Pelodiscus sinensis: one gene and its partners. The main gene of each other region encodes a partner of the protein of the gene in region 4 in a complex. Links are inferred from orthologs where the notes say so. Each region holds a gene or a part of one and is shown on either strand. Other genes may lie near its edges.

What was found. The genes of interacting proteins can lie anywhere in the genome.
Region 1: the proteins of GNAI3 (region 4) and extracellular calcium-sensing receptor are in contact, whole or in part, in a cryo-EM structure (PDB 8SZH), measured with the Homo sapiens proteins. The link is inferred for Pelodiscus sinensis from reciprocal best matches to the Homo sapiens genes GNAI3 and CASR. Residues at the interface, in NP_006487.1 of Homo sapiens: Ala31, Lys32, Gln304, Glu308, Lys314, Asp315, Thr316, Lys317, Glu318, Ile319, Tyr320, Thr321, Phe334, Asp337, Ala338, Thr340, Asp341, Ile343, Ile344, Lys345, Asn347, Leu348, Glu350, Cys351, Gly352, Leu353, Tyr354; in NP_000379.3 of Homo sapiens: Lys644, Ala645, Asn647, Arg701, Val702, Val705, Phe706, Ala708, Lys709, Pro711, Thr712, Arg716, Trp719, Phe801, Ile869, Val872, Arg873, Thr876, Ala877, Ala880, Phe881, Lys882, Val883, Ala884, Ala885, Arg886.
Region 2: the proteins of GNAI3 (region 4) and GRM4 are in contact, whole or in part, in a cryo-EM structure (PDB 8JD6), measured with the Homo sapiens proteins. The link is inferred for Pelodiscus sinensis from reciprocal best matches to the Homo sapiens genes GNAI3 and GRM4. Residues at the interface, in NP_006487.1 of Homo sapiens: Ala31, Lys32, Val34, Lys192, Asp193, Leu194, Thr219, Phe336, Thr340, Ile343, Ile344, Asn347, Leu348, Cys351, Gly352, Leu353, Tyr354; in NP_000832.1 of Homo sapiens: Pro616, Lys619, Ala620, Gly622, Arg623, Glu624, Arg676, Ile677, Ile680, Phe681, Gln683, Gly684, Lys685, Arg686, Ser687, Val688, Ser689, Ala690, Ile694, Ser695, Pro696, Phe781.
Region 3: the proteins of GNAI3 (region 4) and RGS2 are in contact, whole or in part, in a crystal structure (PDB 2V4Z), measured with the Homo sapiens proteins. The link is inferred for Pelodiscus sinensis from reciprocal best matches to the Homo sapiens genes GNAI3 and RGS2. Residues at the interface, in NP_006487.1 of Homo sapiens: Val179, Lys180, Thr181, Thr182, Gly183, Ile184, Val185, Gln204, Ser206, Glu207, Lys209, Lys210, His213, Ala235, Glu236, Asp237, Glu238; in NP_002914.1 of Homo sapiens: Glu104, Phe105, Glu108, Asn109, Glu143, Ala144, Pro145, Glu147, Ile148, Asn149, Asp151, Phe152, Leu180, Asn183, Ser185, Arg188.

The regions. Positions count from the first base shown.
Region 1 is NC_134711.1:139,643,437-139,650,299, forward strand, and holds the start of extracellular calcium-sensing receptor, read right to left. Parts: upstream 3,004-6,863; 5' UTR 2,734-3,003; intron 2,707-2,733; exon of another isoform or gene 2,559-2,706; intron 2,356-2,558; exon of another isoform or gene 2,171-2,355; intron 1-2,170. UniProt on the Homo sapiens protein: G-protein-coupled receptor that senses changes in the extracellular concentration of calcium ions and plays a key role in maintaining calcium homeostasis.
Region 2 is NC_134737.1:11,322,589-11,329,461, reverse strand, and holds the start of GRM4 (metabotropic glutamate receptor 4), read left to right. Parts: upstream 1-3,870; 5' UTR 3,871-4,301; coding exon 4,302-4,829; intron 4,830-6,873.
Region 3 is NC_134719.1:50,074,518-50,081,546, reverse strand, and holds the start of RGS2 (regulator of G-protein signaling 2), read left to right. Parts: upstream 1-4,026; 5' UTR 4,027-4,135; coding exon 4,136-4,242; intron 4,243-5,523; coding exon 5,524-5,625; intron 5,626-5,738; coding exon 5,739-5,800; intron 5,801-6,662; coding exon 6,663-6,829; intron 6,830-7,029. UniProt on the Homo sapiens protein: Regulates G protein-coupled receptor signaling cascades. Inhibits signal transduction by increasing the GTPase activity of G protein alpha subunits, thereby driving them into their inactive GDP-bound form.
Region 4 is NC_134737.1:15,366,665-15,373,556, forward strand, and holds the start of GNAI3 (guanine nucleotide-binding protein G(i) subunit alpha-3), read right to left. Parts: upstream 3,015-6,892; 5' UTR 2,934-3,014; coding exon 2,816-2,933; intron 1-2,815. UniProt on the Homo sapiens protein: Heterotrimeric guanine nucleotide-binding proteins (G proteins) function as transducers downstream of G protein-coupled receptors (GPCRs) in numerous signaling cascades.

The sequences.
Region 1 (6,863 bases), on a different chromosome or scaffold from region 4:
CCTTTGGTCTGACCCAGGACGGCCATTGTAAGCTCAGGGCTCAGGGTCGGGGGTCTCACTGGACCCCCTTGATTCTCTTGCACACCTGCTCCTGGGTGGCCAGGCTGGCAGCTATCCTGACCTAGCCGGCCACTTTCCTGTGCCTAGTGCGGAGGTCGTGGTCCACGATGTCCGCACTAGCCCAGGCGGTTACCCGCCTCTTGCGGTCTCGGGCAAGCTCCCGGGAGCCGCCAGCCTGGTCCCGGGAAGAGGGGGAGGGCTGGGGGGCATCAGTTGGGTGGCTCGATCCGTGCCAGGTGCAGGGTCTGCTGGCTGGGTGCTGGCAGGCTTGCACCTGGCATGGGCACCGTAGCCAGCCCGTGGCCCTTTAAGGGGTCCGGGGCCGGGAGGGGGGCATAGAGTTTCCCTGGTGCTGGCCAGAGTGGCCACCAGGGAAAGCTGGGGAGGGCTAGCCTCCCACTAGTTCGAATTAAGGGTCTACACAGCCCTTAATTCGAACTAGTAAATTCGAACTAGGCTTAATCCTCGTGGAATGAGGATTACCTAGTTCGAACTAAGCGCTCCGTTAGTTCGAATTAAGTTCGAACTAACGGAGCGCTAGTGTAGCGCCTATGAAAGTTAGTTCGAACTTTGTAGTGTAGACATACCCTATCTGAACAGAGCTAGGGTACCATGGAAAGAGAAGGATAGGCAGGTGACAGCACCTAGCTAATTCTTAGCTGCCCAGCCCTGGCATGAATTAAAAATACACAGTGGCGGCTTTAATTTATGTTGTTAGCAATGGGTACCTCAGGGAGGCAAGGGATCAGCCACAAGAAAGCCTCTCTCAGCCACACTCACCCTATTCTCCCCAAACTTGCCCCTCCTACTCTTTTGGAAGGTATTAGAGCTGGTGTAAGAGGAATCAGAGTCTCTACATTAGAAGAAATTGCCTCTATATAGGGGAAATTCTCCAAGAGGAATCCCCACATAATGAAGCTCACTATGCGCAATATGAGTGAAGTAGGTAGTGCAAAATTGATTTAGCAGACCAGAAAATCTGACCCACAGACATTCTAGATTTTCTGAGACATTCACATTATTTGTATTATTCACCTTCTGTCAAGATTATTTGAGACAATTTTTGCAGCCTGTGTGATTTCTGTAAAATATATGACTGAATAGTTTTAATTTTAGTTAACTGTCTTAGTCCCACTAATTTTTCCACACACCTTCACCTTGAAAAAAATGTCTGAGTAGCACTGCTTACCAGTGACTTTTCTTTCACTAGGATGGATAAATGTATGAAATATTTTAGGGTAAAATTCACAGGTTTTACAATTCAGCCGTTAACGGAAGCTTTGCCTGCGTAAGGACAACAACATTGTGCAACAGATTGCTCTTTAATTTCTATTATCTCAGAGATGAAAGTAAGCTTGTGTGCCCTGGTGTGCTGCTCTGATAAGGAGGAGCTGTCTGGCTGGGGTACTTGGCTGCAGAAGGAGGCAGTGGATGCTCCCAGAACTGCTCTTGGGTCGTTGCTACAGGATGCTGCACTATGCACCAGCCAGTCAGGCAGGTGACCAGGGCTGGCTGGAGGCACCCCCTCCCCCATCACACCTCAGCCCTGAGACTCCCATTCCCTAGACGCCCTTTGAGGCCAGGGCTGTAGATCTCCCCCTCATATTCGCATGGGGCAGCTGCTGTCTGTTCCCCTTCCTTGCTATCAGCGAATGAGCAGAAAGTGCAGATTGCTGCGTCCCTCTCGATGTGGCTGGTCGGGGCAGAGCAGCCCTGCACTTTGGCCTTGCTCCCTGACAGGGCCAGGAAGGGGAAGAGCAAACAGCTTTAGCCACTCTGCCCTCCCTGTCCACGCCCCCTACACACACCCGAAACCCCTGCCCTGAGCCCCCCACATACATTTCCTACAGGTTCTGTTATATCACAACCCCCAGTGTCCGCCCAGGAGGGGGTGCAACACCAGGGCACTTGCAAGGAATTTAAGTTACTTTCACTCCTGGACACATTAGTCATTGGCCTTGCTGCCATCCCCCTTCCCAAAATGCTCTAAAGCTCCCATGCCCCAAAGCGCCCCAGGACAACGCTAGAGACCCCGGAAAACCCGAAACCACCGAATTTTGGGCTCCCACAATCTGTTCCTTCCAGCCATGCATTCCAGCGGGGCACTCACCACGGCGCACGGAGCCAGAGGCACCAGCCCCTCCCGTCTGGGTCTGGGCAAGCCCCTACGCTTCGCCCCGCGCGCCCCCCAGTCGCAGCACCCGGGTGAAAGCCTGCCAGGTCCCGCTAGGCGCACCAGCCTTCGGGGCCCGCGCTCGGAAAGCGGAGCAGGTGGGCGAAGTCCCGGACTGGGGCGAGCACCGCGCAGCCGGCGGCAGCAAAACCCGGCGCCCCCCCCGGGGGTGGGGTGGGGTGAGGGCGCAGGCGGCAGCAGAGCCAGGCTTAGCAGGGCTGCTGGCTCGCGCCGCGCTCCCCGGAGCCCCCTGGCGCCCCGACGCCCCGCTCCTCGGCCGCGCACCCCCCTGCCCGCCAGCCCGCGGCGCCGAGCCCGCGCTGACCTTGCGAGGAGCGGCTGGGCTCGCCCAGGCTCGGGTCCGGGCGCAGGGGGAGCGCGGCCCCCGGCGGGTCCCAGCCCACCCAGAGAGCCGGCGCGGCCCCTCTGTGAGGCACCCTCTGCCTGCAGCCAGGGGGTAGCAGCGCCCCGGGCTCCCCGCCCCTGCCCGGCTCGCTCACCTCCTGCCCCGCTCCGCCTGGGGGCCGGCTCGCTGCCTCGCCAGCTCCGGGTTCGCTGCCCGGCGGGAGGGGAGGCAGCGGCTCGCGCGCTGCGGCTGCGGAGATGCTCGGGCTGCGCCCGGATCCTACCCCTCCTCCGGCGCCGGCCAGGGCGGCAGCATCTCCCGCGGGTCCCCCAGCGGTAGCAGCGGCGCTTGCAGCCGCGCGGGAGCCAGCGGGAAGAGAAGCTGGGAAAGGCGCCGCTGGCCAGCTCCCGCTCTCCGCGCCCTTCCCCCCCGCAAGTGGGCAGGCGCCCAGGCACATGCTCCGCACATGGACAGGCGCCCGGAGATAGGTGGGTGGACTCCCACACAGGCGGGGTGCTGTGCCTATCTCCCCGTGTACAAATCAGTCACCCCCCAGCTCCTCACCCACACACAAAAGTTCAGAGAGGGAAATACACCCACTTCACAGATGTTGAGGTTTCTGTGCCTTTTGCTCCACTCATCTGAAGAAGTGGGTTGTACTCATGAGAGCTCACGATCCTGTATATATATTTGTTAAACTCTGAGCCCTGGTCTACACTAGGGAGGTATTTTGCGATAACTCCCCTTATTTTGAAATAAGAAGTGGAGTCCACGCTATCAAGCAGTGTTCGCTGTAAGCTAGGCACTTGGGTAGCCTCTCAGGAGAGATTCAGGTGCCATCTAGGGGTACGTCTAGACTACATGCCTCTGTCGCCAGAGGCATGTAGATTAGGCTACCCGGCATAGGAAAATGAAGCTGCGATTTAAATAATCGCCACTTCATTTAAATTTACATGGATGCCACGCTGAACCAATCAGCTGTTTGTCGGCTAGCGCGGTGGACGCCCGGGTGTCGACATCAAAGGCATTTGTTGACCACCCAGGTAAACCTCATCCCAGGAGGCATACCTGGGTGGTCGACAAATGCCTTTGATGTCTACACCCGCATGTCCAGACTACCTCGCTGAGCCGCCAAACAGCTGATCGGCTCAGGCGGCAGCTTTGTAAATGTAAATGAAGCCGCAATTATTTAAATCGCCGCTTCATTTTCCTACACCTGTTAGGCATGTAGTCTAGACGTACCCTAGCTGATTAGCAGAGCACCCACAGAGGTGTGTATTTCTACTGGTGGTGCACATCTGTATATGCCTTAGTGCACATAACAAAGTCTATTCCATCCATAGATGGAAAAAATTAGAGGGAACACTGCTACCAAGCCTGTTATTTTGAAATAAGTGGCTGGTTATTTCGAAATAATAATTCCTGCTTATCAGGAGGATTAATGCTTGTTTTAAAATAGTTATTTAGAAATAGTGGTAGTGTAGATGCTTCACTGCTGGTATTTTGAAATAACTACTCCCCTGAGTCATTCAAACTAATTACTCCGCAGTGCTTCTTTGGACTCTAAGTCGAGGTCACTCATCCGTATTAAGGATGCGTCTAGACAGCACCCTTCTTTTGGAATAAGCTACCCCATTTGTGCTATGCAAATGGTGTAGCTTATTCTGAGTCTAGGTTGAAAGAGCTTACTTTGAAATTTAGCGCTGTGTAGACAGTGCCAAATTTCAAAGTAAGGCATTATTCCAGCACTATTTTGGGAAATAGCAGGCGCATTTAAAGATGCAGTGTTGCTATTTCAGGATATTTCCGGTATCCTGAAATAGCGCCACAGTCTAGACATACCTTTAGGGAGCCTGCCACAGACTATTTTTGAGGCTTCCCTGTAGTGTGGACACACTATTTCAAAATTATTATTTCAGGAGTTATTATTTCAAAATAATTTCCTAATGTAGACATGCCCTAAGGTGTTACAGGACCATTTGTTGCATTTTAAGGGTTTTTTTAGTTACAGACTAACAGGGTTACCCCTCTGAAACCTACTACACAGGTGCACAGAAAGAGCATACACAAATATCAGTTACCACAGCACACCCATGCAACCATCCTATACTAGGAACGTACTGAATTCACATTCCAGGGGTAATATATGGGGATTCTGGCTCTGCATGTGTCACCAGCATTGACCCCATACCCACTTGAGAGAACATGAACTCAGAAGCAGTGCAACAGGGGGGCATCTCCCTCTCTAAGCCCCTGACTGGAGCCAGGTGGCATAACAGCAAAGCCCCTTCCCATCACCCACCCCCTTTTGCAGCCATTCTGGCACCACTTCTATAATAGTTTCCCAGACCCCATGACATTTATCAGTCACCCTTACAATGTCTGAGAATCTCTGGAACAAGGAATGTATCCACAAGGCATTCCTATGAGGTGGGGAAGTGTTATTTTCATTTTACATGAACTGAGGCAAAGTAGAGAATGGGGACTTGCCCCCAAGTGACAGGGAAACCTGTAATAGATGCAGGAATCATCCACATCACCTGAATCCTAGTTCACTGCTGTAACTACAAGACCCTGACTGAAGTTATTTGACATATAGTAAAAGAAAATATATATTAATATTAATAATATTCATATTAATATGATTAATAATGGGAAGTGTTAGTGGCATCATACCAGGCACTAGTGGGACCTCATCTGCAATACTGGGTGCAATTCTGGACTCACCATGTTGAAGAAAGATGAATTCAAACCGGAACAAGTGCAGAGAAGGGCTACTAGGATGATTTGAGGAAAGGCAAAACTACGATATGAGGGGAGACTCAAAGAGCTTGGCTTTTTTAGCCTAACTAAAAGAAGGCTGAGGAGAGGTATGATTGCTCTCTATAAATATATCAGAGGGATAAATACCAAGGAGGGAGAGGAGTCATTTAAGTGCCAATGTGGACAAAAGAACAATTGGATCTAAACTGGCCATTGACAAGTTTAGGCTTGAAAGATTAGACAAAGGTTTCTAACCATGGCTACGTCTAGACTGCAAGCCTCTTTCGAAAGAGGCTTTTTCGAAAGATACTTTCAAAAAAGCCTCTTTCGAAAAAGAGCATCTAGACTGCAAGCAGTACTTTCGAAAAAGCAAGCCACCTTTTCGAAAGAAAGCACCCAGGCAGTCTGGATGCTCTCTTTCGAAAAAGCCCTGTTTGCATTCAAGAACGCCTTTTTTCGAAAGAGCACTTTCGAAAAAAGGCATTCTTCCTCGTGAAATGAGGTTTTCCGCCATCGAAAGAAAAGCCGCGTTCTTTCGATTTAATTTCGAAAGAACGCGGCTGTAGTCTAGATGCAGGAGAAGTTTTTTCGAAAAAAGGCTACTTTTTTCGAAAAAACCCTTGAGTCTGGACACAGCCCATCAGAGCAGTGAAGTTCTGGAACAGGCTTCTGAAGGAAGCAGTGGGAGCAAAAAACCTAACTGGCTTCAAGACTGAGCTGATAAATGTATGGAGGAGATGCTATGATAAGAGTTTATATAATGGCACATGGCCCACCAATGACTTCTAGTAGCAAAAATCGCCAATGGCTAGAGACAGAACTTAAGATGTGGGCGGCAGGGGAGAGAAATCTGTGTTACAATAAAGAATTCTCTCTCAGGTGTATGGCTGCTTGGTCTTGCCCACATGCTCAGCATCTAACTGATCACCACATTTGAAGTCAGGAAGGAATAGTTTTTTTACCTTCCTTTTGCAGCATGGGGCATGGGACCCTTGCAGGCTTAAACTAGTTCAAATGGTGGATTCTGAGTAACTTAAAGTCTTTAAAGCATGATTTGAGGACTTCAGTAACTCTTCCAGAGGTTAGGGGTCTATTACAGGAGAGGGTGGATGAGGTTCTGTGGTCTGCAAAGTGCAGGTCAGACTAGATGATCACGATGCTCCCTACTGAGCTTAAAGTCTATAAGAAAATAACATCTATTTACCACTCTTGTATGCCACACATACAACTGAGGCAATTTAAGCTAATACTATGAATAGGTAATAGAGATACTACAAAACTGTTGAAGCTGAAGATTCTGGGTTTTATCCCTGCAGTTTAGCTGATGTTTCTGACAAAGTCGATCCCAGACCACAAAAGCTTATGCTCAAATAAATTTATTAATCTTTAAAATGCCAAAGGACTCTTGTTTTTGCAGAAACAGACTAACATGGCTAACTCTCGGAAATTAGCTGATGCTTGTGATAGTGTGTGTGTGTGTGTGTGTGTGTGTGTGTGTGTGTGTGTGTCCCCACAGGCTTG
Region 2 (6,873 bases), about 4.0 Mb from region 4:
AAGATCTTGTCCCGAAAGCACAACTGCTAGGGAGTAGCATGGGTCAGCTTGCTTACCCAGCTCTCTCTCTAAGAATGGTACAAGCTCCTACATCTTATAGAAAACTACCAGGAAGCAAAAGCCCTGAGATCCAGCTCCTGTGGGAGCAATGCATGTGAGAAATGGTTAATGACCAGGGGACAGAGCGTGTGATCAGAAGTTGGTACAATATTTTTATGTGTGTGGTTCAGGCATGAAGGAATGAGTCCAGCCCAGGGGAAATCTAAGCTCGGGTAAGGGGCATATATGTGTGAAGGGAGTCTCGGGGAATTCTGCTTTCCTGAAAAATACACTGACAAAAAAACACTGTTCAGGCAGAGCAGCATCCTGGATAATTTCACACTCTCATGCCGGTTTGCCAGCGCAGTGTCACTTTACAGAGGAAATTTGAGAGTACAGATACAAATTTCCCTCTACATGCAGTTAGCATGGAAATGAATCGGAGACACATTGACGTGGCTGGTTGGAGACAGGGGAAGTGCAGGTTTGCAGGCCCCAGAAAGATGATTCCCCTGGAGTCACAGGCAAAGCAGCTTGTGGTAGGGTAGGACTGTCTCTGTTGCTTGTATCTCAATAGCTCCTAGAAGCCTCATTGTGCTGTATGTGGGCAAAATGTGAGACAGTTAACAGTTTATTTATCTATTTAACCTATGGGGTTAAATAGAGCAGGGTGGGAAGAAAACAGTGTTATTACCCCACTTTACAGAAGGGGGTACAGAGATTAAGTGACTTGCCCTAGGGCACAGAGAGAATCTGTGGCGGAGACTAGAACTGACCCCGTGTCAGTCCTCAAGACTGGCTGTCCCATTACTGCTTTGGACAGGCTGAATTGGTGAGCTCATGGCAGCCTTATGGGGCATCTCTTGCTCCTTGGGGGTTCAAACATACAAGGTGCTTAGCATCTGCAGCCCCTGTTGATTTTAATGATTGCTGAGGTGCTCAGCACCACCAGGAGTTGCTTGACTCCTTGGGGAAGCTCCTTGGCAGTGACTCCATCTCCAAATTCCAGCCCTAGTGAACCCTCCCAAATGCTCACGCCCTTTTGGGTGCAGCCAGTTCTCGCCAGATGTTCCTTGCAAGCCAGATGCTTTGCTTAGTTGCAGGCAGGTTCTGTCCTGGCAGCTTTTCAATGTGAAGCAGCCTCCAAAACCTCACAAAGGAGATAGAAGAGCAAGTGGAATTATCATCATAGCTAAGGCCAGTTCTTTTTTGCATTGCCAATACTCGACTCTAAGACACTGCCAACACCTAATGCTTTCAAGGAATGTGAATGGTGTTCAGAACACACCTGGCCAGCTGTGCCATGAGATACATGGGAATGTGTGGAGCATTGTTGCACATTGGCAAATTTTTGGTGTTTTCTTAAATACCTGGACACGTTAGCTCCTTGAATCATGTTATTACATGCTAATCTTAGTTTACATGGAAAATAAAATAGTTTCTAGCCCTGTGGATTGTGGAGAAAAACTCAAAACCGGAAGTCTAATAACTCAAAAGACTAAAGGCCAATGAAAACCTCAGATCTGTTGTATTTTAAAATCTCATGGGGTGATAAAAGATTTTTGAATGCTGAGGATAGGCAGTGTGATATAGGCAGGCGCTTCAGTTCCAGAGTATTCCCTGAAGTCTATGATTGGATTGCCCCACCCCCTTTTTAATAGCTAGGTGCAGAGATGCTACATAATTATGGATCCTATTTGTGATGGAGTCACGGTGATGGGCTGTGTAATTAGAAGGCATTTATAGAGTCATAGAACCCTAGGGCTGGAAGAGACCTCAGGAAGTCATCAAGTCCAGCCCCCTGCCAAAGGCAGGACCGATCCCAACTAAATCAACCCAGCCAGGGCTTTGTCAAGCCAAGACTTAAAAACCTCTAAGGATGGAGATTCCAACACCTTCCTAGGGAACCCATCCCAGTAAAGACTGAAGCAAAGAAATCATTTAGTTTCTCCGCAATGGCTTTATAGCCCTTGATTCCTCCTTTTCTATCTCGATCATCTAGGGGACCCACAGGTTTTTTAGCAGGCTTCCTGCTTCTAATGTACTTAATAAACATTCTGTTATTTCTTTTTGAGTTTATGGCTAGCTGTTCCTCAAAATCTTTTTTTGCTTTTCTTATTACATTTTTACACTTGATTTGACAGTGTTTATATTCCTTTCTATTTATCTCACTAGGATTGGACTTCCACTTCTTAAAAGATACCTTTTTGTCCCTCACTGCTTCTTTTACATGGTGGTTAAGCCACGGTAACTCTTTTTTAGGTCTCTTGCTATGTTTTTTAATTTGGGGTATACATTTAAGTTGGGCCTCTATTATGGTGTCTTTAAAAAGTTTCCATGCAGCTTGCAGGGATTTGGCTCTAGTCACCGTGCCTTTTAATTTCTGTTTAACTAACCTCCTCATTTTTGTGTAATTCCCCTTTTTGAAATTAAATGCCAGGATGCTGGACTGCTGAGGTGTTCTTCCCACCACAGGAATGTTAAATGTTATTATATTATGGTCACTATTCCCAAGCGGTCCTGTAACTCCCCCTAAACGGTAAGAGCTAGGACCACCAAATTTGGTAGGCACCTCCTTTTATCATAACTTAAAGCAAGGTCAGTGTTTGGTTATGCCAGGACAGCGAGATGTGCCTTGAATGGGATTGTTTCTCATCAAATGGAAAGGGAGAAGTATGATAGGAGGGACAGTTATACTCATGAATGACCACAGGGGGGCAGCAAACACCCCAGCATCAGGGAGCAGCCAGCGGCTGCCCCCACCCGCTGCCATGAACTCCTCCTCACTCCCCAATCCTGACTCCTGCACCTCCACACCTCTAGCCTCCTGTCTTGAGCCCCCCACACCTCCAAGCCCTGCCCCGAAGGACCAGAGGAACGCTGCATAGGTCTTCTAGTAAAGCAGTGCTTCAGGTCTTGTAATTTTGGGTGACTTTATTTTCTAATAGATACTTGGAGGGTTTCTCTCCTTTGTTGTTTACCCAGTTGCGATTAGAATGGAGGAGCTTGGAGAGATCTGCTGTGGAAGGGGGCAGCGTTCACACACTTTGTCGAGTTGCTGGAGGAAGGAGGGAACAGAAGGTTGTGCCCTAGGGTTTGTGTTCGGTTGTGACTAACAACTTCTCCTGGGGGAGGGAGGGAGGCGCTTTCTGTGCAGACAGACATGTCTCTCTCAGGGCTCAGGGGTCTTCCATACATCGATCCTGGTCCTTTTCTTCTGCTTCCCTGCTCCTCACCAGAGCCCTTCAATAAGCAGCAGGATCAGATTTCCTATGAGGCAGCTGTGACCAAGTGGAGGCCCAGTTAGCAAGAACTACCACTCCCAGCATGCAATGCTTCTCCTAGGTCTGAGTAGCCTTGAGCTGGAGAGACACGTGACTGGAGGAAAAGGGCTGGCTCTGGAGAGGTGGTGGCTGGCCCAGAAGGCCAGTCAGAGGACGAATGCCATCCCAATTGGTGGAGGGAGAGGTTCAGGTTGGTTATTATCTCCTGGAGCTGACCCTATGATCCCACAGCATGGAGGACCCCCGTTAACATGGGTGTAATGCAGGCAGCATCAGCCCTGACAGCAAGGAGGATGTGTTTCCTAGTAGTTAAAGCATGTGGCTGGGGTGGGAGGAGACTTACACCCATCTGTATAACCATAATTCAGCTTCATGGCTTTATGCCTCAGTTTCCCCCATGTAAAAAGACACTGTGGGTTGCACCGGCTGGGAGCTAGGGTCTAGCGTTTATGCCTGTTGAGCTCCAGATGAAAGATCTGGGTAGCTGATACCCTCTTTATGCCTCTGTTTAATGGTCTTTCTCTTTCTCTCTCTTTTCAAGGCTTGTGGAGACAGGAGCAGAGGGTTTGGGTTGGTTTGGTTTTTTTCCCACCCTCTTCTCCTGAATGTAAAGTTATGCAAAGCCCAGAGCCAGACGGGATCCTCCAAAGGGCTGGGCAAAGGACCTGGTAAAAAACCAGCCCACCCTAGAAACCTCCTGGGCTTGGCTATCTGCTGCAAGATGGATGCTGGCGGAGACCAGAGCTGCTGATGGGAAGGTGACCTAGAGTGGGGAAGGAAACTATGCTGCGTCCCCTTGGAAAGGCTGCAGCCGGACACGCTGTCGCCTCTTCCTTGGCTGTCTGAGAAGTTACCCACCCCACCCCCACGCTCCTTCCTTGGTGAGCTCAGTGCTGGGCTGCGGAGCCAGGGAAGCGACAGGGGCTCAGTGCCGCATGGCTCTCTAGGCTGTGTCGGGGTTTCGGCGAGTCATTGGCGATGCCTGGGAAGAGCCGGGGATCTTTTTGCATGGAGCAGCTCTCCGTCTGCCTACTCCTGAGTGCTTGCAGCTGCTGGTGGAACCCAGCTGGCTCGGCTAAACCGAAGGGCCAGGGGCATCCGCACATGAACTCCATCCGCATTGACGGGGACATCACTTTGGGAGGCCTCTTCCCGGTGCACGGCCGGGGGGCCGAGGGCAAGGCCTGCGGTGAGCTGAAGAAAGAGAAGGGCATTCACCGGCTGGAGGCTATGCTCTTCGCCCTGGATCGCATCAACAACGACCCTGACCTGCTCCCAAACATCACCCTGGGCGCACGCATCCTGGACACCTGCTCCCGGGACACCCACGCCTTGGAGCAGTCGCTGACCTTCGTCCAGGCCTTGATTGAGAAGGACAGCACTGAGGTGCGGTGCATCAACGGCGGGCCCCCCATCATCACCAAGCCGGAGCGCGTGGTGGGGGTCATCGGTGCCTCCGGCAGCTCCGTCTCCATCATGGTGGCCAACATCCTGCGCCTCTTCAAGGTAACGCCCCCGGCTCACGGTCCCTCACCCTACCCTGGGGGGTCCTCTCACACCTTCCCTCTGTTTTGGGATGAGGGAAAAGCACACCTGGGGTGACTGATGCCGCCTCCTTGCTGTAGCAGCTAAATAACCCACCAGCAACCGTTTTATCGATAATGGAATGTACTAACTGCTCCCTCTCAGGCAGGGGAGGCCAAGAGGGTGGGCGGGAGGGAAGTGCAAGCTGTCTGCTGGTGTTCAAAGTACCCCCTCTCTCCAGGGGATTTGAGTTCTGCCAGCCACACCCTGCAACGATGCCTTGAGTTAAAGGGGCTTCCCCTCCGGTCCCTGAGTTCTCTCCTGCAGGTGCCTTGGATTGTGGTGCTCCACAGAGGGCAAGGGGAGGTGTGTCTTTGTGGCAGAGAGGCTCGTGCATGCTGCTGCCATATGCGGGTGGGTGACGGGGATGGAAGGGATTTCCCGCGGGAAAGGTTCCTCACCAGCAGGAGGAAGATGCCTGCTCCAAGCAGGGAGTAACTTCTTTCACGGTGGGGAGGTGCTTTACCTGGTTTATGTGAGGCCGTCGGTTTTAGAGGCAGAAGGAACAGCCTTAGGGCGGAGACCTTAGGGCCCCTGCGTTCTATTGCCAGCTCAGCCGCTTGTGCGTGGTGTGAGCCTGGGCACGTCTGCGTCACAGCCTCCTCTGCCCGCAAAATAGGCAACAAGGGTGCTCAAAGGCTGCTTTACTGGTTGGGCTTTGGGAGATCAGGAGCCAGCGCCCCCTACATGTGGCAAATCACTTAGTGGCTCTGTGCCTCAGTTTCCCATCTGTGCCACGGGGTTAATAGCAGTGCTGGGCTCTTCAGGGGGGAAAAATACAGCAAGGCCATTGAGATGCTTATTAGATGTGGGCTGTAGAAGCAGCAGACATTTGCCTCTTCTACTGTCTGGGGTAGGGGCCTTTGCACCCCCATTACGCACATTGTTTGGAGAGCCAAAGAACCAGACCCTGAGTATGCTGGAAACCACTTCAGGCCAGAGCATGCTGCTGCCCCCCCGGTACCTCTAATTCCAGCCCTCCTGATGTGGGGCCTCTCCTTTGCAAGACTCCCTGAATGCAAGTTGAAAATGAATCCCAAAAGGTGGTACTGGCCCTGTGACACACAGTTGAGCTGTTCTCATTGCCTCCACTAGAGGGCAGTGACCACACGCACCAGGTTGCGAAGAGACCTGGAGCCAGGGTTGTGGTGCAGAGCACGGTTCCCCTTGTTACCTTGTCTCCTGCGGACCTAGTCCCGTGGTCCTTCCCTCGTCACCCAGAATGAGGCTCTGCAACAGGCTTGCAGCATCTCCTTCGCGGTGGCCGGGGACGACTGGCCGAGCAACGCCCGGCCTTCCGTCCGCCATGGAACATGCTTTGGGGGTTTGGTGTCCCTCGGTGAACGCTTGCTCCCCTGGTGCCCCGGGGCTACGCTATTGGGGCAACTCGTCTTAGCGCACCTCCGGACCCTGAGCAGAGCGGGGTGTCTGGGAGGAGGCAGTGCTGCTGGGCGTGAGAAGAGAGGAGAAAGGGGAGGGATGAAATGGATTCAAAATACAGCCCCTGCCCTATAGCTAGGGGGGCCATCTCCCACGCGGGCCGGGGCCGGATGAGGGACCCCCGGGAAAGCCTGGGCATGTAGGGAATGGAGTCGGTGGTTCAGCAGAGGGCACTGGTCAGTCCTCCATTGTCCAGGGTGGCAAGTCCTTGAGGGAGAGTTTCTCCCAGTGACACCCTCCCCTGGGCCTCCCCACAAGGGGCCTGGACGTTGCCCCTCTTCGCCGTTCCGCCCACACCTCTCCCTTCCCTTCTCCCCTCTCCCACTCCCTGCCCTCCTCTGCAGAAACAATAAACTGCACTTTTTGTTTTGGAACAAGAAACACCGGTTTTTTTAATCGGGGTGAATGTAACTGGGGAAAGAACCTGGGAGAGTGAGGGGAAAGAGGGAGAAGAGGAGAAAGAAGAGGCTCAGGGTTGGAGCAGGGAGTGGCACCTGCGTTGGGTGGGCCCACTGCCTTTTGTGCA
Region 3 (7,029 bases), on a different chromosome or scaffold from region 4:
CAGTATGCAAAACTCTGAACTACTAGTGCATCATCTGCATATGGCAACATACCCCATTGATTAAGGGTGGACAAACCAGTTTGGTTTAAAACAAGAACAGACTTGAAACTGCCCTAGGCCTTATTCCAATTATAACCCATTCCAAGGGTCAAAGTAGTTCATGTTGGAGGCTTCTTCTGTCTCAGTGAACACCAACCTCTTAATTAAGATAAACTTTGGTTAAGCATTTACAATTTGGGGTCTTATCCAAATCAAACCGATGAACCTTGTGATGTTTGCTCCACTCATGAAAAAGCACTCCTCAGAATCATGGAAGAGGCATGCAGGGAACAGCTCGGTTATTCCTAGGCATCTGCCAAACAGCAGTTGGCTGTCGATTGATATATGGAAAATCTCAGCATGAATCATGCATTTTGTCTTGTTTTTATTGTAAACTTCATTATTGCTTTTTTCCCCCAATTAACTTTGAAAATGGAAGTGCCTGTTAAGCAAGATTCTTATCACCTGTTCAACTTCCAAACTATGGGGTTGTGAAGGGAGAACAAATAGTGATGCAAAAATGATGCAAACTGGAAATAGGATAGGACATTTTTTTAAATTATGTCAAAACACTGCCTTAACTATATAGATTAACATAGAAATATATAGACTGTATTATAGATGAACTAACATGAATTTAAAGATAACAATGGGTACGTCTACACTAGTCCCCTAGTTCGAACTAGGGAGGCTAATGAGGGTGACCAAAATTGCAAATGAAGCATGGGATTTAAATATCCCACGTTTCATTAGCATGTTCCCGGGCGATCGCCATTTTGGAAATTGAATAGCCCGGATAACTGCCCGCGTCTACACACGGCAGTGAAACGGGAGTTGGAAGTAAACCCCTAACTCAAATTAGCTGTTACTCCTTGTGGAATGAAGTTTAGTAGCTAATTTGAGTTAAGGGGTTTACTTCGAACTCCCATTTCACTGCCGTGTGTAGACGCAGGCAGTTACTCCGGGCTAGTCAATTTCCAAAATGGCGACCACCCAGAAACATGCTAATGAAGTGCAGGATATTTAAATCCCGCGCTTCATTTGCAATTTCGGTCACCCTCATTAGCCTCTCTAGTTCGAATTAGGGGGCTAGTTTAGACGTACCCAATATGTGTTAAAACAAAAATACTGATATTTTGTTTTTAAGCTCGAAGCTATGCAAAATGGTCCTTAGACTCTCTTGAGGTCATATTAAGCTTTTAAATAGAGTGAGTTACATATTTGCATCAGGGCCGAATTAAGAAAGGGCACTGTAGGGGCTGCAGCCCATGGCCCTGGACTAAAGGGGGCCCCACAAAAAGATCTCCAGGCCACCAAAAGTGAAGATCTTTTTGCTGGTCCCCTTAGCAGCCACTAAAGCCCCTGTGTGCTATCCAGCCCTGCCTAGCGGGAGGAGGAGGGAATGAAGGTCCATGTGCTACCATGCCTCCCCTGCCCCCTAGAGCTGCAAACGCCAGAAGCTCGGGATGTGCATGTCTCTCGCCTCCAGGTTCTGTCCTCAGCCCCCAGAATTGTGGCCCATGGGAGTTGCAGGGGGCAGTGTTTGTAGGCAAGGACAGGCCAGTGTGCAGAGCTATCTGCTCCCTCCCCTTCTGTCCCTACCCATGGTCATCTCTGCCAAAGGGGATCTGCCAGAGGTAAGTGACTAGCCCCCTAACTCCCTACCCCAGCCCTGAGCTTCCTCCCGCCCCCTAAATCCCACTCAGATTCTGCCCCAGTTCTGAGCCCCCGTCCATCACACAAACTGGCTCTGAGACTCCACACATCAAGACTCTGCCCCAGCCTTGAGCTAGCTCCCGTACCCTAACTCCCATCTAGATCCCACACCCCATAGCCCTGCCCCAGCTCCAGCCCTATCCTACATCCAAACTCCCTCCCAGAACCTGCATCTCACCTCCTGCCTTGAGCCCCTTCCCCCACACTAAATCCCATCCAGACCCTGCACTCCCACCACCTGCCCCAGCCCTGAGACCCTTCCCACACCCTAACTCCTGCCCAGGCTGCACACTCCCCCCCCCCTTGCCCCATCCCTGAGCCCCCTCCTGCACCCTAATTCCTACCCAGACCCTGAGCTCCAATCCCACCCTCCTGCACTCAGCCCCCTCCTCCACCCTAACACTCTCACAAACCCTGCACCTCCACCTCCTGCCCTGAGTACCATCCTGCACTCGAAACCCCTTAAGCCCAGCCTGGAGTCCCGTCCTGCATCCCAAATGCCTCATCAGCAACCCCATCATGTAGCCTGCACTCCCAGTCAGAACTCTCACCCCCTCCCACATCCAATTTTCTGCCTCAATCCACAGCCCCTTCCTTTTTTTTGCTCCACCCCAGAGCTTAGGGGGCCCCACAAAATCTAATGGCCCCAGGCTCCCAGAAGAGTTAATCCATCCCTGGTTTGCATGCTAAACTATATTCTCCATCTGTGCATTAGAGTGACTGGTGACATAAACAATATCATAGATGGCAGGAGGCATGCTGCATTAATCATAGGTATGGAGCATTACAATTTGAGAAGTGTTATATGTTGGTAGAGGGGAAAAATACTAGCAGGACACCCTCTACTGCTTAACACAGTGCAGAAGGTACCACATACATGCTTACATTTTAGCTAAAGGAAGAGGCATTCAGATAAATGAGTACATGCACTAGCACTAATATGCACAATTTATTGGCAAATGGCTGAGTTACGAAAATATATGGAAGCAAGGCTTGCTATGTATGTATGGCACTCATTCCTATGCTAGTGGAAGCTGAGACCTCTGGATCTTAATACCAGAGCCTGGCCCTCTACTGCGTGAACTAAAAATTCCAGGTTTGTGAGCCAAGGCTATAGCAGGCTCATCAAGCTGTAGTTGGCCTTGACGCTACTAGTGGGGGACAGAGTGCCACAGTATGCAGGCACGGCTTACACATATATGTTTTGTCATGCTTATGAGTATGAAAAAAATATTTCAAGTTATCACTGAGATAAAATCTCCCATGTATTGTACACTCCAACTTTTCACATCTTTCTTTTGTAAGGGTATCTGAACCAGGCCTTAGAACCCTTCTCTATTCTTTTAATAAGATGCAAACTCAAAAGAACTGGCTTCTTGGAAAGCAAAAACAGTTTTAGCATATGGGCTTGTTAAAAATGAATTTCTAATGTGTTGAACTGAACATAACGCTGTCACCTAACCTTCACTCAGTACTACAGAAAATTAGCCGCTACCTCTGCCAAGCCACTGGGATTCCATAAAGAACTTCCAGGCAGTATTAGCATGAGAACAAATACCAATTGTACAAACATTTCCAAGTGCAAAACTTTTTGCATCAGGGGTACAGTAATCTTTTAGTTCCAACTGAATAATGTTAGGAATACAGATGATTCAGCAGTGATCCTGGTATATCCTCTCCTTCCCAGACACAAACATAAGCTGATGAGAAATATGAGACATTGCTTATCTTAGTTAGCATTTTTTAAATCAATTGTAGAACAGTTGGGACAATTCCAGATTACTTGAAGATTCTGGAGAGTGCAATAACACATCTTATTTTGTTAGCATTATTATATTGTTAACATATTAATCCACAAATAGAAATTCAAGGTATATTTTCCTTTAGAAGGATAGGAGGTAAGGGTAAATTTTTAAAGAGCACAGCTAGGACCCTTAACGCTATTCCTATTGTTTTTCTTTCCATGTTGGATTATAAACCAACAAGTGATTCTGCACTTCTGCCTTCAAATGTGCAGGGCACTCAAGCTTTGTGAAGACACATGCAGCAGGCAACAAATAAAAAAAATTCTCCATCTTGCTGGAATCTGCAGCAACCAGACCAGGTTTTTTTGCAAGTGGAGACTGCATAAAACAGAAGAGAACACTGCGTCAGCACTGTACTCAGAGTAAGAGCCTTTTAAGGACGTGATATGGGAGTGTGCTTTGGTGTGCTTCCCACAAGCAAATCAGTGTGCTCAGGAGGCGTAACCGAAACCCAACCCTTTCCCCTACTGCCTTCTATAAAAAAAGGCTGCCTTTCTCTTCACGTTCAACTTCTCAGTGAAGAAAAGGGTGCTGCTGCAGATCAGCGATAGACCCTGGGATAAAACAGAAGAAGTATGCAAAGTGCAATCTTCCTTGCTCTTCAGCACAACTGTGGACAAATGGAGAGAACTCCCAGCAGCTGTCAAAATGAGGAGAAGAAAGGAAAGATGAAGAGAACTGTGTAAGTTTATGTATTTATAGCAGATTTAATTCATATAAATAGCTACCTGTGGCTTTCAGAACAGTGATTCAAAATAGGGAGCTTGCATCTCAGTAAGGAGAAAATGTTTACACTATTTGGTAAGAATCTGACAGCACTGACTTTTTAAAAATGACTTTGGGTGCAATACCTAAGCAGTGCAAGAATGGGTTGATTTATGTATTTGATGTCAGCTTGGATTTTTAAAATGGCAAAATATCTCCACTTCAAAAGCACTCATGAGAAAAAAAAATCCTGTTTTTGTTGAACTGATCATTTGATAAAAAATATAACTGTCATCGTCAGTTCAGAAAAAATGTAGGGTTTGTGCAGAAATGGTTTATTTCAGTTTATGCTTGTGTGGTGAAAATGTAAGCACATATTTCCCCCATTCATTATTTACCCAGCTAGCTGTGCAATTTTACATTTGATTGGTGTCTTTAAATGGTTCTGTCATTTGACTTTTAAAATTTAACTGAGTTTGCTTCTTGCCAAAGCAAAAACAGATCTTGAATATCTTACATTATTAGATCTATAATGAATATTCAGTTTGCATTGCCTGGATAAGACATGATATTTAAAATGTAAGGGATAAATTAGTCTTCAATTCCCAGTTTCACATAGAGGCTAATGGAGACAATTGTGCTGCAGTTCTTGTGGAGTTTAGTCTCACCTGATCCACATTCACCACATGGCCCTAAACTAGACTAGCTGCCGCACTGAAAAGACATTTTTAAATCTCGCAGATCCAGTTTTTGTCTCTTCCAAAAATCCAACAAGAAGAGATTAAATCTCCAAATGAAGAGGGTTAAATATCTGAGCACCAGAGGCCCCCATCCCAAGTTTTCAATCTGCTAAAACACCCACTGAGGACAGACCACAGGATTGGGCCTTAGGGGAAGAGCGTAGGTCCTTCGTCAGAGCAGCACACCTCTGATTGTGAAACTGTTACAGATGCCTTAGTTATAATTAGTCACTTTCCAGTGGCTGTGTGATCTCAAGTGCTCCATCAGTGCAGTGGGGAAACTACGGTTGTCTGAGACAGAAAGATTGAATCCCATGTTCTTGAAATAGAACTTAAAGAGTTGAGGGTTGATCCCACAATTAAGCAGGCACAACTACCATCAACTACAAGAGCAATTTTTCATTCTCTTTATGGATTACAGGCTCAGTTCCATCTCTAGTCAAAATGTGTAAAGCTGAAAGTATAATTTCAGTTAACTCTCATTTTAATGTATTTTCCTCTCTTCCTCTCTCCTCTAGCATTAAGGATTGGAAAACAAGGTTGAGCTACTTCCTGCAAAACTCTTCCACTTCTACAAAAACCAAGTCCAACAAAAAAGGAAAGCAACATTCTTACATCAGGTAAATTAAATATTCAGATTTCACTCAAATGAATTTCAAATATTTTAGCATTCAAGGGAGTAGAAAAATGTGCTGTTCAACAACCTAACTATACTCTCCATCCTTTTATATAGACCTTCTCCTGAAGAAGCCCAGCTTTGGTCAGAAGCTTTTGATGAACTTCTAGCTAATAAATGTAAGTCAGTCTGAAAAAAAAATAACAAATCACTGTAAAAATATAAAGGTGTTTTGGTCTTTGTGGGTTTTTGTAATAATAAACACTACCTCAGATAAGAACAAACAGTGGTTTTCCATCCGTATTATAAATTACCCTTTGAATAACCTCCTGCATTCACCTTGATATTGGTCTCCAACACTTCTATTTTAAACAACCCAAAATCCCACTTCCTAAAATCTTTATCAAAGATTTTTCTGCACTTAATAATTCTCTCCAAGACAAATCCTCCTTCTAGTGCTATTAAACATATTCACATTAAGCCACTGTGGACTTGAGGCTCTGTGGGTTTTATAGCCACTCTGCAAAGAAAACCACTTAATTGCTGATTAAGAAAAAAATATTAGCATTTGCTGATAATGAACTTTGAGTCACTCTTTCCATTGCAAATGTCTTCCAAAGGTTTATAGCTTTGTTGTAAATATTTACTCCAGTCTAAAGGTTAACATACTAGAATTCAGATCTGGAGAGAAACTGTATAATGAAGGGGGTTGGTTTTTGTCTTCTAAAACCTAGCAGGATGTTAAAGGAAGTGTGCCATTTTTATATGGTTTTCATTTTTTGCACTTTTCCTTCAAAAATAACTTCAGTTCTTTTTTTTTTTTTTTTTTTTTTTTTTTAAAAGGAAGCCTGGGAAACTGTTCATGCCTAATAATGTTCTTTATATGAATACATAGACAGTTTAAAGTTCCTGGCCCTTTGAAAGAAATAGGAACTCTCAGAGCAGGTATATTTTTGGTAGGAAAATACGTGGACTATTGCTGAATGCAAGATTCTTGGAATGTTTTCAGTTCATATATTTCCTCCTTTTCTTTCTCTCCAGATGGTCTTGCAGCATTTCGAGCTTTTTTAAAATCAGAGTTCTGTGAGGAGAACATCGATTTCTGGCTGGCCTGTGAAGACTTCAAGAAAATCAAGTCACCTCAGAAGCTGACATCCAAGGCTAAAAAAATCTACAGTGATTTCATTGAAAAAGAAGCTCCCAAAGAGGTAAAAAATCCCTCTATTTAAAACCCCCATTGCTGCTATCTCTGAGCACTCAATTTTAACGACCACTTCCAGGCTTTCATCACATCCATTGTGAGCTCATGTTTTAAGATTTTGTTGCCAAGCTGCATTTATATCCCTGAGTACTGATTATTAACATCCAAATATCACCTTGGTACAATAATGTATACATACCAGTTCTC
Region 4 (6,892 bases):
AATCTCAAAAAACCAACAAGGGCCTGTAGTCACATGACGTGTGGCTGAAAAAAGGCTACTCCAAAAATTCTACAATCTCTCTACAAAAGGGTGGTTAGACTCCTCAGTCTGGTGTAACCCGTATGTGGGTTACAATGTTTTAGCAATGTCATAACAATGAAGATTCTGTTGAAAGGCTGAGGCAAGGAAAACTGACTAGCTCTTGCCTATGTGAGCTTTCCCAACCTACATAATTTTGCAGAGAAGTGCAAAACTAGGCCAGTTATTTGAATAGATGCTGAGATGTATATGGAGACGTCTCACCTTCATTCAAAGTATTTCTGAATTGTTCAAAAGGGGATTAAAGTGATTTCTGAACTTTATAAAGCAACAAATTTCTTCAAAACAACTCTGCATCAGCATTGAGTGGTTTGCTCCAGTTACTGAAACACTCCAAAGGTCTGTTCTTACCTTGCTTCGTTTCATGAAATTGTATCTCAACCTAGACATTTTAGCATTTTTCTTTTTAAAAATGATCTTGAAATGTTTAAGATTCATATGCTATTAGTCTAGCTTTCGAAATTTTAATAAAATGACTACAGCATGCAGTGCATACATTTTATTTTAGAAGTTGATTGCTCCGTTTTAGCTGTATATTACTAAATACGTAGAGTGCAAAGATCTTTGCAGAATCATTTAATCACTGGTGACATTAAAAGACTTTACTAAGCTAGGATTTTTTTTAAAATACAGGTTAGATGGAAACCTTTTCAAAAGCACAAACGGCCATGAGGCCAATTAACTGCCACGGAGACAATAGGAGTGAAGTGCATAACCACCATTCATGCTTTTGAAAAATCTCTGCCACAGAGTCTGAGAACACTGCATCACTGCTACATGTCTGATTTGTACAGAAAAGCTGTACACAGGCATAACTGCCAACACACCTCTGCAAACTCCTTTTAAAGTGGCTTTTCAGTGTTAGCTATATTCCAGCATCGTGGCACACAGAAAAACCCCACGCACACAGTATGAAAAAGGAGGTTACTAATCCCATTGAGAGTCCCTTCTCTAATCATTTTGCAACTCCAACAAAGGAGCAAACCTCCAAGGAAGAAGACCTATAACCACAAACAGCCAATCAAAAAATTTTCTGTGCACACAAAGGACATGAACCACAGGGCCTCACACCATACACAGCTGAAAAACAAGTTAAGCAATACACACATTGCTTATAGGATTCTTATGGTTGTCTCCCCTTAGGAAACCAGAAATCTTAGCTTAACATTTCCCACATAAAGCAAAAACTCACTAGTCGGTGTGCTTCTGAGTAGATCAATACATACACCAAAGCTATTTTGTCTCTCAAATAGAAAGACAACTTTGCAAAGCAACTGATTATGAATGATCAGATAATCCACATTCCACCCCAATCAATACAAGATGGTACTTCATTTTATTCTTAAACTCATTTGAAATGACTGCTTTCACTTGGGAGTCTACTACAAATTAACAGACTTCATTATTCAGCAAGTTTTCTCCAAGAAATCTTTAATATTTCCTTGCTTCCTTGTATCTTCATGTGCTTCATTGCACCTCTATGAACCAGCCTTCAATAAGGTTCACAAAAGCCATATAGAACATAGCACTTAGTTTGTAGCCCCAAAATATGTATCTGTTCAAAGAACAACATTGGAAAAAAGCCCAACAAGTCAGAGATCTCCAATACGAACGAAAGGATTGCATCAGACCCAAGGGCCATGTAGCCCGGCATTCTTCTGTCTTCTGACAGTGGCCAGTGCCAGGTGCCCCAGAGGGAGTGAACAGAACAGGGAATCATAAAAAAATCCCTCTCCTATTACCCAGTTCCTGCCTCTGACAAAGAGGCTAGGGCAGGGGTCTCCAACCTTTTTAAGCAAGAGGTCACTTTTCGAATGTAAGTGCAATCCAGGACCTACCTCAGACCCTATTTGTTCCACGTCCTTCGTGCCCCTTCTCTGCGGCCCTACCCCTGCTCACTCCGTCTTCCCTACCGCCTCCCTTCCACAGGGCAGGGGCAGAGGATTAGGACACTGGTTCTGGTCTTGGGCTAAATAAGGGATTTAGAGCGTGAGGGGCTCAGGGCTGAGCTGGCGTAGGAGATTGCGGTGCAAGGGGGGGGTCAGGGTAAGGCTCTGTAAAGGAGTGTGGACCCAGCCCTGGGGGGGAAGGGCTGGTTCGCGCAGGCCCCCCCCCCAGCCGTGTCCCCCAGCCCCGGGGGGAAGGGGGGTTGGTTCGGGGGGGGCTGGTCCGCGCAGGGCCCTCCCCCCCCAGCCGTGTCCCCCAGCCCTGGGGGGAAGGGGGGTTGGTTCGGGGGGGGCTGGTCCGCGCAGGGCCCTCCCCCCCCAGCCGTGTCCCCCAGTCCCGGGGGAGGGGGGGCTGGTCCGCGCGGGGCCCTCCCCCCCCAGCCGTGTCCCCCAGCCCCGGGGGAGGGGGGGCTGGTCCGCGCGGGGCCCTCCCCCCCCAGCCGTGTCCCCCAGCACCGGGGGAGGGGGGGCTGGTCCGCGCGGGGCCCTCCCCCCCCAGCCGTGTCCCCCAGCCCCGGGGGGAGGGCTGGTCCGCGCGGGGCCCCCCCCAGCCGTGTCCCCCAGCCCCGGGGGGGGTCTGGCCCGCGCGGGGCCCCCCAGCCGTGTCCCCCAGCCCCGGGGGAAGGGCGGTTGGTTCGGGGGGGGGGTCTGTCCCGCGCGGGGCCCCCCCAGCCGTGTCCCCCAGCCCCGGGGGAAGGGCGGTTGGTTCGGGGGGGGGGGGGGGTCTGTCCCGCGCGGGTCGGTCGCGGCGCGCCCCGGCCCCGGCTCACCGAGCAGCAGCAGCTTCACCTCCTTGGCCGCCTTCTCGCCGTCCTCGCGCAGGTTGCGGTCGATCATCTTGCTCCGCTCCACCGCCGCCTTGTCCTCGGCGCTCAGCGTGCAGCCCATGGCGGGGCCGGGCCGGGCTGCGCCGCTCGCTCTCCTCAGCCAGGCGGCCCGAGCGCGGCTGGCTGGGGCGGGGCCGGATATCCGCTCCGGGGCCTCCGCCCGCCCGCCGGGAGCGCGGCGCACCCTGGGAAATGCAGTTCGCCCCGCCCCCTCCCCGCCGCGAGCGAGCGTTGCATGCTGGGAGATGCAGTCCAGTCGCTGAGCCCGCCCCCGTCGCGTTGCATTTCGGGACTTGTAGTCTTATGTAGTCTGCTGGTGGAGGCACGGTCTGCGCATGAGGGACGCTGTGCATGGCGCTGGACAGGACCGCATGGGGCTGCCCTCCCCCGTGGGCTGGTGTCTCTCGTGGGACTAGGTGTCCACTGTATTTACCTGTGCTACTCAGTGGGGTCCATGTGCACCCCCAGCCCTCATGGGCATCACCCACCGCCAGCGCCTAGCTAGGTGCCCGGGCATGGCTCAGGCGACCCTTTGGTGCCGGGACACGGAGAACTCTCCGGTGGCTCTGTGCTGCATTCCCCTCCCAGCTGGAACAGGGCTAGATTCAGCTCCCAAGTCCCTGCTGCTTGAGCTAAGAGCAAGTTGCTCTTGGCTGCATGGAGCTTGGCAAATAGCATGGCAGCCTGGAGTCCAGCCCGCAGACGGCAGCATGCAGCGTACCTCACTCCAGGACATGCACCCAGCGAAGCTCATCACAATGGTGACACCACCGTAAAACGCAGCGGTGCCTGCACGAATCATGGGCTCTTCATTGTAGCAGAAAAGGGTCTAACGCCAGCCGGCGGCTGGAAGTTGTAGACAATTCAAAGGGGAAAGAAGGTACAAATTCTAACTGTGAGAGTAATTAACCAGCGGAACAAGTTACCAAGGACCAGCATAGGTGCTCCTGTCCCTGGCCATTTTGCTATTTCTTCTAAAACATTTGCTCTAGGAATTGGTATGGAGCGGGTCTCTGCCCTTACACAGGAGGTCAGATGAGAAAATCACAGTCTCTGTGGCTACGTCTACACTGGCATGATTTTCCGGAAATGCTTTTAACGGAAAAGTTTTCCGTTAAAATCATTTTCGGAAAAAAGCGTCGAGATTGGCAGGATGCTTTTCCGCAAAAGCACTTTTTGCGGAAAAGCGTCCGTGGCCAATCTAGACGTGCTTTTGCGTAAAAAAGCCCCGATCGCCATTTTAGCCATCGGGGCTTTTTTGCGCAAAACAGTACTGTGCTGTCTACACTGGCCCTCTTGCGCAAATGATTTGCACAAGAGGGCTTTTGCCCGAACGGGAGCAGCACAGTATTTCCGCAAGAAGCACTGATTTCTTACATGAGATCGTCAGTGTTCTTGCGGAAATTCAAGTGGCCAGTGTAGACAGCTGGCAAGTTTTTCCGCAAAAGCAGATGATTTTGCTGAAAAACTTGCCAGTCTATACACAGCCTGTGATTCTCTGCTACATAGCTGGCAAGTAGCCCTATCACCTAAGGTACCCAAATACTGAGCAGAGGCCAACATGAGCCAGAGACTCACCACAGAGTAAGGCTCTGAGCTACCAAACATCAGCTGCTGCTTGTTCCCTGTGCTCTCCACGTTTCCCTTTGGAGTGTGTGATGGGGATATACAAACCTCACACTGGTAAGTAAGGGGCTAAAGAGGCAGCGGCTAGTCCCAGATGGCCTCATCCCAAAGGGGACAGGATTAGTGCTGGACAGCTGAGTAGGCAGTGGAGGTGAACTGACCTCCATCATGGAATGGAGCACACCAGGGGCCCTGCTGCTGCCTAAGACTCTGGTTGTAGAGACTTTGCCAGACATGGGGAGAGCCAACAGGTCGGAGACTTCCCCTTTGATTTCAGTTCTTTGATGGCTACTGGGAAAGGGAACTGGTGAGAAAGCAACCCAGGGAGGCAGCAACAGAGTAGCACTTTAGGTACAGAACGTAGCTGCCTCCCTGGATTGGACCCTGCTGAAGAGGGATCCTGGGATCCCCTGCCAACTCCCACCAGAGATGGAAGAATCTGGGCAAGGGGAGATCCAGAAGCCCATTCCCTGGCCTAGCCGATAGTGATACCCCAACAGGAGTGTAGATGCCCTGAGAAGGGAGGGCAGAAAGCAGTGACCAAGCTGGCCTGGGCACAAGAAGAGCAGACTGCCGCAGGGCTAGCACAGCTGTCCCCGGAGCTGGTGCAAGTCTAGCAGCCCTGCTAGGCCTCTGCCTGATCACGAGGGCTGGGGCCCAGCCTCCCAGGAGCACCAGGGACTGAGGGTACATTGGCTGCTATGCAGGGCCCCATTTGTGGCCATCTAGCAAAGATCCTCTTGGGGACCCATCACGGCCAGATCTGTACTGACAGTGAAGAGAGAGCAGGCTGCGAATGCATCTGGGGGAAGAGGACCACTCCCATGCTGCAGATGTTACATCTTTTGGGATCTATTTGGAGCCTGGTTAACCGCTCTCAGCATAGGGACCCTCGACACCCCGGCAATTGCAGGGCATGCTCCTCTCCCACGGTGCCTTAGCCACGTCTTTGCCTGAACCTAACTCCAGAGGAGAGTTCAGTCCCTGTTCAGTCCTGGCAGCTGTGCTGAGGTTGCCACTCATCCGTGTCATGCCCAGGGCTCCTTTTGTGATGAAGATGCTTGTGTGTGGGGAGCCAGTCTGAGACCCGCCAAACTCATCGCTCCAGGGGAACGAACCAGCCTGTGATGGCAGCACCTCTGAGTTACCGGGTTGCCAGGTGTCCGGTATGGAACCGCACAGCCCGGCATTTGCGCCTTCCGTCCTGTCAAAAAAGTCAGAAAATACCGAACATCTAAAATGTCTGGACAGAAGGCCACTCGGGACATGCTCTGCTGCTCGCGCTGGTTGGGATCTAAAGAGGCTGAGACTGCATTTCAGCCCTGGCTTTTTTTTTGCTCATCAACTTTTTCCTTTATTTTCTGAACAGAATTTTTTCCCAGCATTTTTTTTGGGGGGGAGGGGAGCTTTGGTATTTTTTGTGAAACCATCTGGCAACCCTACTGAGTTAGGGTACGTCTAAACTACATGGCTCCGATTTGTTTGTTCAGCAAAGGGAAATGAAGCCGCGATTTAAATAATGAGGCATAATGGGGAGGTCGATAAAGGGCTTTCAGGTCGGTGCGGGAGCATCCAGACTAGCGCGCTGAGCTGACAAACAGCTGATCAGCTGTTTGTCGGCTCAGCGCGGCAGCCATTTAAATTTAAATGATTATTTAAATTGCGGCTTCATTTCCCTTTGCTGATCAGCCTAATCTACATGGCGCCATCGATGGAGCCATGTAGTTTAGACACACCCTTAGGGATGTTAAAGATCAGTTAATTGAATAGTCGAGTAACTTCATTACTTCTTATTGGTAAGTCGACTATTGGGTAGTCTCTGGGGGCGGGGCCTGCAGCCGCTGTATCAGAGGCAGCAGCACATAGCGCCAGGCAGGAGCTGGTCCATGAGGGGAACCAGTTTAAAAACTAGCTCCCCTTGTGCCTGTTGCCCAGTGCTGCTGCCTCAGATAAAGAGGTAGCAGCTCAGGCTGACAGCCTCTGTCTAAGGAGGGTCTGAGCTCCCTGACCCGGTGCAAGCTGGAACTGAGCGGGCTGCCTGCCTGGCTCCTAATATACTTGAAATGCAGAGCTACAGCAGGGGTAGGTCCTGGACCCAGCATGATCCAGAATTGAGTTGGGCGGCTGGCCAGCCTGCTAAAAAATTGACTGGCAAGGGTGGGGGGAGGGAAATGTGTGTAGTCTACAGCATCAACCTCTACGCTTTTGCTTCTCGATTAATTGGTTAATCGACTTCGCTCTGACATCCCTGTCCTGAGTCCCTGCATCTTGGGCAGAACAGCTCTTCATTCCCCACCCCGGATCCACTGCTCCCCCAGCAAGGAGCACAAGAGCCCGCCCTGGAGGCCTGTGCCCCCCATCCAGGGGGGCAAGAACATCTCCTTCTTCCCCAGC